Cricetulus griseus: one gene and its partner. The protein of the gene in region 1 interacts with the protein of each later gene in a pairwise test. Links are inferred from orthologs where the notes say so. Each region holds a gene or a part of one and is shown in the gene's direction. Other genes may lie near its edges. The genes, in order: Gpsm3 and Gnai3.

Region 1 (4,172 bases):
CGGGTCCCCTCCAGTTGCCTGGGGTCTTGCAGTCCACCCAGAGGTGCCCGGGTCAGAAGCAGCCAGCTGCACGGAGGGAAGGGAGTGACGGGCAGGCTGCGAGACGCCAGGCTTAGCGAGCGCTCTGCTGACTGCGTTCCCCGTGGAGCCAGAGTGCACAGCGCTGGGGACAGGGCTCAGGATGCCCGAGGGACGCACACACGCCGGGCTTTTTTTTTTTTTTTCCTGGAAAGTAGAGCAGCTACAAGAGGACAAGGTGGACTTTGAGAATCCCTCAACTGGGACCAAGAACTGTGGGCAAACTGGGTGTAAAAATGTTCCCTGTGTATGGTTTCCCAAACCAAGTCTCTGCTGCCCACTGCCCGCGAGTAGCTGGCAAATATTTATTGAGCCCCTACTATGTGCTGGGCCTTGTGTTGACGATGAAGCGTGGCCAGTGGCCCCTCCAGCTGATGACTCCTCGCCCCCCCTCTGCCACTCCTGCCCCCAGGAAAGTGATGCAGGGACGAGGCCTTCCTCTCTAGCTACTGCTATCTCTAGGAACCCCAAACTCATGAACAATAAATAAAGCTGATTTAAAGTGTTACTTTATTTGTCTGAGGAACTCATAGTGTTTGGGAAATCTAGTACCCTAGGTTCATCCATAAAGGCAGGTGGCTTTTAGATACAAATTAAGGGGAAACAATCTGGGGGTCCCAGTTTGGGGGGTGTCATCTGGAAAGCGAGAATCTCTTAACAGTCAAAACAAACATACAAGGTGATAGATGCTGTGCCCCCCATCCTTGGGCATTTAGGAGACCGCTAAGGTCTTGGACACGCATTTCATCCTCATGGCTTTACCCCAACCCTGATAAGCCTGTGACGTAAGGCCCAGGAGCATTCTGGAAGATTACCAGCCACCCTTTATAGAGTATCTGCCAGGTGCCAAGTGCTCACTACAATTAACCCTCCCCAATCCTATGAGGTAAGTGCCACAAGGGCCACTTTACCCGGTCACAAATGGAGGCACAGAGGTTTCATTCACCTAAGATTGCCGGGCTCTCTTCACCCCCTTTCATGCCCCAAGCCACTTGGCTCTAACTTCATAACGTCACACAGCCGGCGGGAAGCCATTTGAAGAGTCCAGATGTCTGTCCTGCTCCTCCTGGGGCTAACCAGAACTGGCCAAAAGCCAAACTAAGTTCTGTCTTCCACTCTCATGACCCCAGGCAAGTCTTCCTGTGGCCTTTGCCTACACTAGCTCAGCTTCCAGGGACATTTTCTCACACTTGGTTCACTCTGGTCCCCTCCTCTGCTTGTAACGCTTGAGGGTAGTGAAAAGCACTCAGCAACCAGTCTCCAACTACTTCCCGTGTGTCGGCCCAGAGTTAGGACAGAAGCATTGGGCCTGACACCAGTGCCTCTCGGTCCGCGCCTTCTGCTTCCCTCTAGAACCCTGCCTTTCCCTGGCCCGGGAAGTCGAAGAGAGACGGTGAGAAGGGCCACTCAGGATCAGTCTTGGGGAGGGAAGAAACCTCGTTTGGGGGAGGGGATCCCAAAGAGTGAAACCACTTCCTGTGTTGTAGCTAGTTCCGGTGTTGACAGAGAGGAGCTGGAGGGGAGGTGGGGATGGAGGGAGCGGTGTGGCAGGGGTAGGGGGTTACTGAGGCTCTGGAGATGAGTAGGCCCGAGTCTGGCCCTGTCAGGAGCCTGCCCCACTCCGAAGCTGGACTTCTTCCCAGTCTCTGTCCTCCCCAGGGGCAAGAGAGGTCAAACAAGCTGTTTGGGTGGGAAAGGAGAATGGAGGAAGTTGACCGAGATGGGCGGGGCTGACCAGGAACCCAGCTTCCTGCTCAGTACCCAGGCATCCAGCCCCCAGCTCACCCCCACCCCTTCCAGCCCCCCGTTCCCCTCAGGAGCCCAGGGTTCCGGTCCTCCTTCCAAATTCCAGCCTCCCCTCCCCCACCAGTGTCTCTCCCCAGCCCAGGGATGGAGGCTGGAAGACCCCAGGAAGAAGAGGATGATGAGCAGCAGGTGAGCCGGGCGCCGGGTGGGAGGCCAGCACAGGGAGCAGGGGCATGTGAGGACACAGGACACTTGGAAAGCTTGGGCACACCAAGGAAGGCAGGGACAGGCACACAGGGGACATGGTCGCCAGCCTAGCCCTCTGCCCACACCGCCATCTGACTGGAATGGACCTGTTTCGGTATCAGGGTCCCCCGCAAGATGATCAGGGCTGGCCCCCTGTGAACTCCACCACTCGGCCTTGGCGATCTGCGCCTCCCTCCCCTCCTCCTGCAGGAACCCGCCACACAGGTACCCCACACCAACCCTGGGAGACCCTGACCCATCACCCAGGCCACCCCAGCGTAGGCCCGCTAACCTCACACCTGCTCACCTGCTGGACCCTAACCACAGTCTACCAGCTCACCTGCCCCCACCTGTCCGTGGCGTCTCCTTTCTGCCATCGCCTCTGGGTCTTAGCCTCCCCCCTCCTCTCCCATAGCCCTGGGGCCCCGGTCGGGCTCCCTGCTCTCCCTGCAGACAGAGCTCCTTCTGGACCTGGTGGCTGAGGCCCAGTCCCGCCGCCTAGAGGAACAGAGGGCCACCTTCCACACCCCCAAGGTCCCCAGGAGCCAAACCCCAACCCCACCCCGGCTTCTTGAGGACCAAGAACAGCTCTACAGCACCATTCTTAGTCACCAGGTAAGGCAAACATACCCCCCCACACTGCCGCTTGCATTGTTTCAGCCCTAACTTAGTCTTTTTATTATTATTATTATTATTATTATTATTATTATTATTATTATTGGGGTTTTTTTTCGAGACAGGGTTTCTCTGTGTAGCTTTGGAGCCTGTCCTGTCTCTCGCTCTGGAGACCAGGCTGGCCTCGAACTCACAGAGATCCTCCTGCCTCTGCCTCCCGAGTGCTGGGATTAAAGGCGTGCGCCACCACCTGAAGTTAGGCTTCAGCCCTAACTTCTTCCTCCCCAAAACATATGTCTCTTGGCCAGCCTCTGCTCCCCTCAACACCTACTGCCCTAGACCAACCCTGGCCCTCTTACCCAAAGCCACCACCGACCACCAAGGCTCTCCTCTCCCTCTGCATGTCTAGTGCCAGCGGATGGAAGCCCAGCGGTCAGAGCCGCCCCTGCCCCCCGGGGGACAGGAGCTCCTGGAGTTGCTGCTGAGAGTTCAGGGTGGAGGGCGAATGGAGGAGCAAAGATCCCGGCCCCCTACACACACCTGCTGAGACCTGAGCTCCCAACCAGCCCCTTCTCTCAGGGACTCAAAGCTGGGCCACCCCCGCAAGCCTTCAACCCTGCGTGGCAGGGGTGCCAGAGACTGAAGACCCATTTTCCCAGGGAACTGGACAGGGGGCAAGTACCCTAACCTTGAAAACGAGCAAGGTAGGGTGGACACGACTCCCCAAGACCGTTCAAGAGTCTCTATCCTGAGCTGTCAAGCTACTCAACGGGGTGTGAGGACTGAGGCCTGCCCCTCCTGCCTAGCAAGAAAAAGGGGAAAGATTAAGACAACCGCCCAGCACTGGCACCCCAAGCCCCAAGGCCGAGGAGCCCAGAGGCCCTGAAGCGAACCTCAGCCCCACCCACACACCCTGCTGCTGCTGCTGCTGAGTCTGCCCGATGTGTTGGTTGTGTGAATAAACTTAATTCCCCTCTGCACTGAAGACTGGTATCTGGGGGTGGGTGGCTGGGTGTGCAAGGTGGGTCGGTGAGGCCTGGGGCAGCCGCTCTCCGCGAGCTGGCCGGAGGCCAAGTCCCCTCCCTGGCTGGTTAATTACTGGCTCATTAAGCAGCGGCTGGAGACCTCCCTAATCATCCCCCCAGCCCCCAGTCTCCCGGTTTTAATTAAGTCGAACAGGGAGGGGAGTCATTAGAACAAGAAATATGAACCGAGCCGTCGGAGAGCATTCCAGCGGCCGGAGTCCGCGCCACCCCGACGGTGGGCTCGGAACCCGGGTGGCCCACGCCGCCCCCGGCCCCGCCCCGCCCCGCCCGGCTCCGCCCCGCCTGGCTCGGCTCGCACGCTCGCACGCTCGCGCCGCCGCCCGCCCCGGGGCCAGCCTGGCCTCTCCCGCCCGGGCCGCCCGGCCGCTCCCCGCCTCCACCCGCCGCCGCCGCCGCCGCCGCCGGCCGCCCGCCGCCCGGCCTGCGTGTCCCCGCCCCCGG
Region 2 (3,813 bases), about 180 Mb from region 1:
TTTGAGACAGGGATTCTTTGTGTAGCCCTGGCTGTCCTATCTCAATCTATAGACATTGAACTTAGAGATCTGCCTGCCTCTGCCTCACTGCATGCTGAGATTAAAGGCGTGTGCCACCACTGCCCTGCTGTGTTCAGTTTAACATTTTCATGAAGGAATGGATAAGATAAATTAAAATCATCAAAATTCTCATATCACCTTAAGACTTAGAAACTAATGCAATTCCTGTCTGAAACTCATGACATTCTGATGGCGTCACTCTGTTGCCATTTCCCCTCCTGCTCCCATCTTTCCCCTGTTGTAGAATGTTAATGGTGTTCCTTTAGGGTATCTAGAGACTAAACATTTTCCCTGAGGGCTTGGTTCCTGTTACTGGGCTTTAAGTGCCTTACATGCTTCATCACCTTCCTGCCTGCTGTCTGCAGTGAAGGGGAAGGAGCAAGCAGTTGATTGATTAAGCAAGCACTTCGCCTTAAACTTGATTAATGTCATATCCCTATGCCATGTTTATACTTCTTATATGTAAATCTTTTCATTTCTGTATAGGGTAGGCAAGTGCGCTGTCACTGAGCTACACCCCCAGCAGTCTAGGTAACATACACGCATGCATGTATGTTTGTGGGCATAGAGTGTGGAGGCTGCAGGTTGACTTCAGGTGTTTTCCTCTACCATTTTCCACCTTACGATTGGAGACAGTGTCTCTCCAAATGTGGAGCATGTTATTTTGGCCAGACTGGTAGGCCAGTGACCTCCAGGGATCCTTCTTTCTCTGCTCCCCCAGCACTGAGATCACAGGCTTATGCTGTGGCATCCAGCTTTTACATGGATCTGAACCCGGGTCCTCATGCTTGCACCACATGGACTTTATCACTGGGCTATGCTCCCGATCCTCATTAAGGGCTTACTTTAACAGAATGGAAAGCTGTTACATATATTTGTCTCTCAGACCAGTAAGTTTCCCCACCCCCCATTCCCTCATTAATCATAAGTCATCAGGATAGAGGAGTTCGAGTCTAATGGAAGAGTGGTCGTATGACATCTGACTCGCAAGTGCATGAGTGTGTGGAGTGAGCCTCATCTAGTCTTACAAGTGGGAACTCATCTGTCCCTCTCTCAACTCTTTTCCTCAGGATGATGCCCGACAGTTATTCGTCTTAGCTGGCAGTGCTGAAGAAGGAGTCATGACTTCAGAACTTGCAGGCGTGATTAAACGGCTCTGGCGAGATGGTGGGGTGCAGGCATGTTTCGGCAGGTCCAGGGAGTATCAGCTCAATGATTCTGCTTCCTAGTAAGTAATTTCTTTTTCCTTTGAAACTAATAGGAAGTGATTTGGTGATCCTAGAGCAAGTTCAGTACGTATCCTTAAGGAAATGTTCAAGTATTAGAAATGTCCAGCTGCCTTACTTTAAGGATAGCTCTGTGGTGCATTTATGGTAAGCAAGTGGAGTGAGACATCTAGCAGAGGTTAGTTCCCTGTGTAAGGACAAGGAGGGGAAAGTTAAAACTGGACATCTCGCCACACCACATCACAAACCACACACCACACCACACACACACACACACACACACACACACACACACACACACACAAACCACACCACACCACACCACACCACACCACACCACACCACACCACACCACACCACACCCTGGTTTGTTATTGTTGTATTTGAGACAGGATCCTCGTGGCTGGCCTTGAACACACAGAGATCGGCCTGCCTCTGCTTACCATGCAAGGATTAAAAGTGTGCAGCACCACATCTGGTGTGACAGCCCTTTTTATACTCTCTCTCTTGGCTGTGCTATGAATTTTTCTGGTAGTAGTCATTACTACTTAATTGTGTGTGGGTGTGGTATGTGACGGTGTACACTAGGGATTGAACCAAAGTCTCATGCGTGTTAAGCACATGCTCTACATCCTCAGCCCTTTTATTAGTTTTTATTTTGAGACACAACCTCACTCATATTGGCATTGAACTCATTCGATAGCGCAGGCAGGCCTGAACTTGGGATCCTTCTGCTTCAGCTTCTAAACAGCTGAGATTACAAGCCTGCACCACAAAACCCAGCACCGTTTACATCTTGTGCCAGACTGTGGTAGTAGACTTCTATAGAATGACGATGTGTCATAGAATGGAGTTGACTCATTTCCTTGTCAAGAAAATTCTCTTGAGTATTAGTTTTGCAGAACTGGTATTTTACTATTATATGTGATCCTGTTTTGTCCCCAACACATTTATTTATTTTTGTTTTGGGGTTTTTTTTTGTTTGTTTGTTTGTTTTGAAGTGGTTTCTCTGTGGCTTTGGAGCCTGTCCTGGAACTCACTCTGTAGATCACACTGGCCTTCAATTCACAGAGATCCACCTGACTCTGCCTCCCGAGTGCTGGGATTAAAGGCGTGCACCACCACTGCCCTGCTACACATTTAGTTTCAAGACATATGTTCATGGTGTATTTTTAAAATGTGCTTTTGGGGGGGGGGCACCTAGTGAGTACTTGTCATCTGTAGCCTTCTCTGAATCAGATAAAGTACTTTTGATTGTTAGGGTATTTTTCTACTAGTGTTATATTTCCCATCCTCATCTTGTCACATAGTGTTATAAGACATTAACGGTATGTATGAAGCTTACGTACTCTTTCAGTGGAAATGATTTAGCAAACAGTAAAAGGATTCTTGTCCACTTTTTAAAAATAAGATTGTTTTTATGTGCACAGTGATAGTGTAGGTAATTCAGTGGTCATCAAAGGTAGATTTTTAATTACCTCTTCTGTCATATATTGGGTAAGCTCTGACTCCCCAATTGCATGTTGTTTATAGAGTTTTCTCCCTCCATAGTTGTTCATCTGAGCTTGATTCTGGTAATTGGTTTGTAGAAGATCTGAATAACATGCTTAAAGTAGTGTCACCTGCTCTTCAGCTTTTTTTGTTGTTTGGAATCAATGAAGATTTAGCTTTTTGTCTCTTTCTCAACTCTCTTCCCATGTTTTGAAAGAGGATCTTGTTACATAGCCCAGGCTGGCCTGAAACTCCTATGAATATATATCTTCCCGATTAATTCCAAACTTGTGGCCACCTTCCTCTTCCCAGTGCTGGGTTTACAGGCGTGTACTAACATGTCCACCTGTGCTCTCACTGGGTCTAGTTCTTCTAATTTTCATAATTCAAATGTCATTTTTTAATGAGCTGTCAAATAGTTATGTATGTGGCTGACATAAATTTAGATATATGAGAGCTTTTGTTTTAATTTTTTTGTGTTTTGTTTTCATAAGGTCTTACTATGTAGCCCAGGCTTTACTGGAACTCTGGGGTTCAGGGTTACAGGTCTGTGCCACCTGTAGGTTTGGTTTTTTTTTGTTTTTGTTTTTGTTTTTTTCTGTATTAAGTACATAACTCATTTTATGTTAGATTTCAGGAAGTTTTCTTTAGCAGGAATAAAATTGCCTTGTTTTTAAAATTTGCCTTCACAGTATATTTAAAACCATTTTTGTTACTATGTATAGATGCTATTAATTTCCCTATGCTAGATTTACTTGCCCCCCCCCCCTTGTAATACTGAAGATTTAATATTTTTCTGCCTCTGAGGTGAATTTGAGGGTCTACTTTTTTTGTGGTTTGTTAGTACTTGGGATTGAATCTTGGGTCTTACACATGCTAGTAGCCAGCTAGTCTCAAGCAGAGAGTTTAGTCTGTTGACTTGTTGTGTTCATGGTTGGCTTTGCCAAGTAAAAACCAATGTATATTTCATCTAGTTACCTAAATGATTTGGATAGAATATCCCAGACCAACTACATTCCAACTCAACAAGATGTTC

What was found.
Region 2: the proteins of Gpsm3 (region 1) and Gnai3 interact in binary tests that used the Homo sapiens proteins (3 or more experiments, as listed by UniProt). The two-hybrid records come from large-scale screens. The link is inferred for Cricetulus griseus from reciprocal best matches to the Homo sapiens genes GPSM3 and GNAI3.

The regions. Positions count from the first base shown.
Region 1 is NW_023276806.1:231,200,517-231,204,688, forward strand, and holds Gpsm3 (G-protein-signaling modulator 3), read left to right. Parts: upstream 1-1,598; 5' UTR 1,599-1,968; coding exon 1,969-2,013; intron 2,014-2,192; coding exon 2,193-2,295; intron 2,296-2,485; coding exon 2,486-2,685; intron 2,686-3,094; coding exon 3,095-3,232; 3' UTR 3,233-3,665; downstream 3,666-4,172. UniProt on the Homo sapiens protein: Interacts with subunit of G(i) alpha proteins and regulates the activation of G(i) alpha proteins.
Region 2 is NW_023276806.1:49,016,476-49,020,288, forward strand, and holds part of Gnai3 (guanine nucleotide-binding protein G(i) subunit alpha), read left to right. Parts: intron 1-1,130; coding exon 1,131-1,288; intron 1,289-3,751; coding exon 3,752-3,813. UniProt on the Homo sapiens protein: Heterotrimeric guanine nucleotide-binding proteins (G proteins) function as transducers downstream of G protein-coupled receptors (GPCRs) in numerous signaling cascades.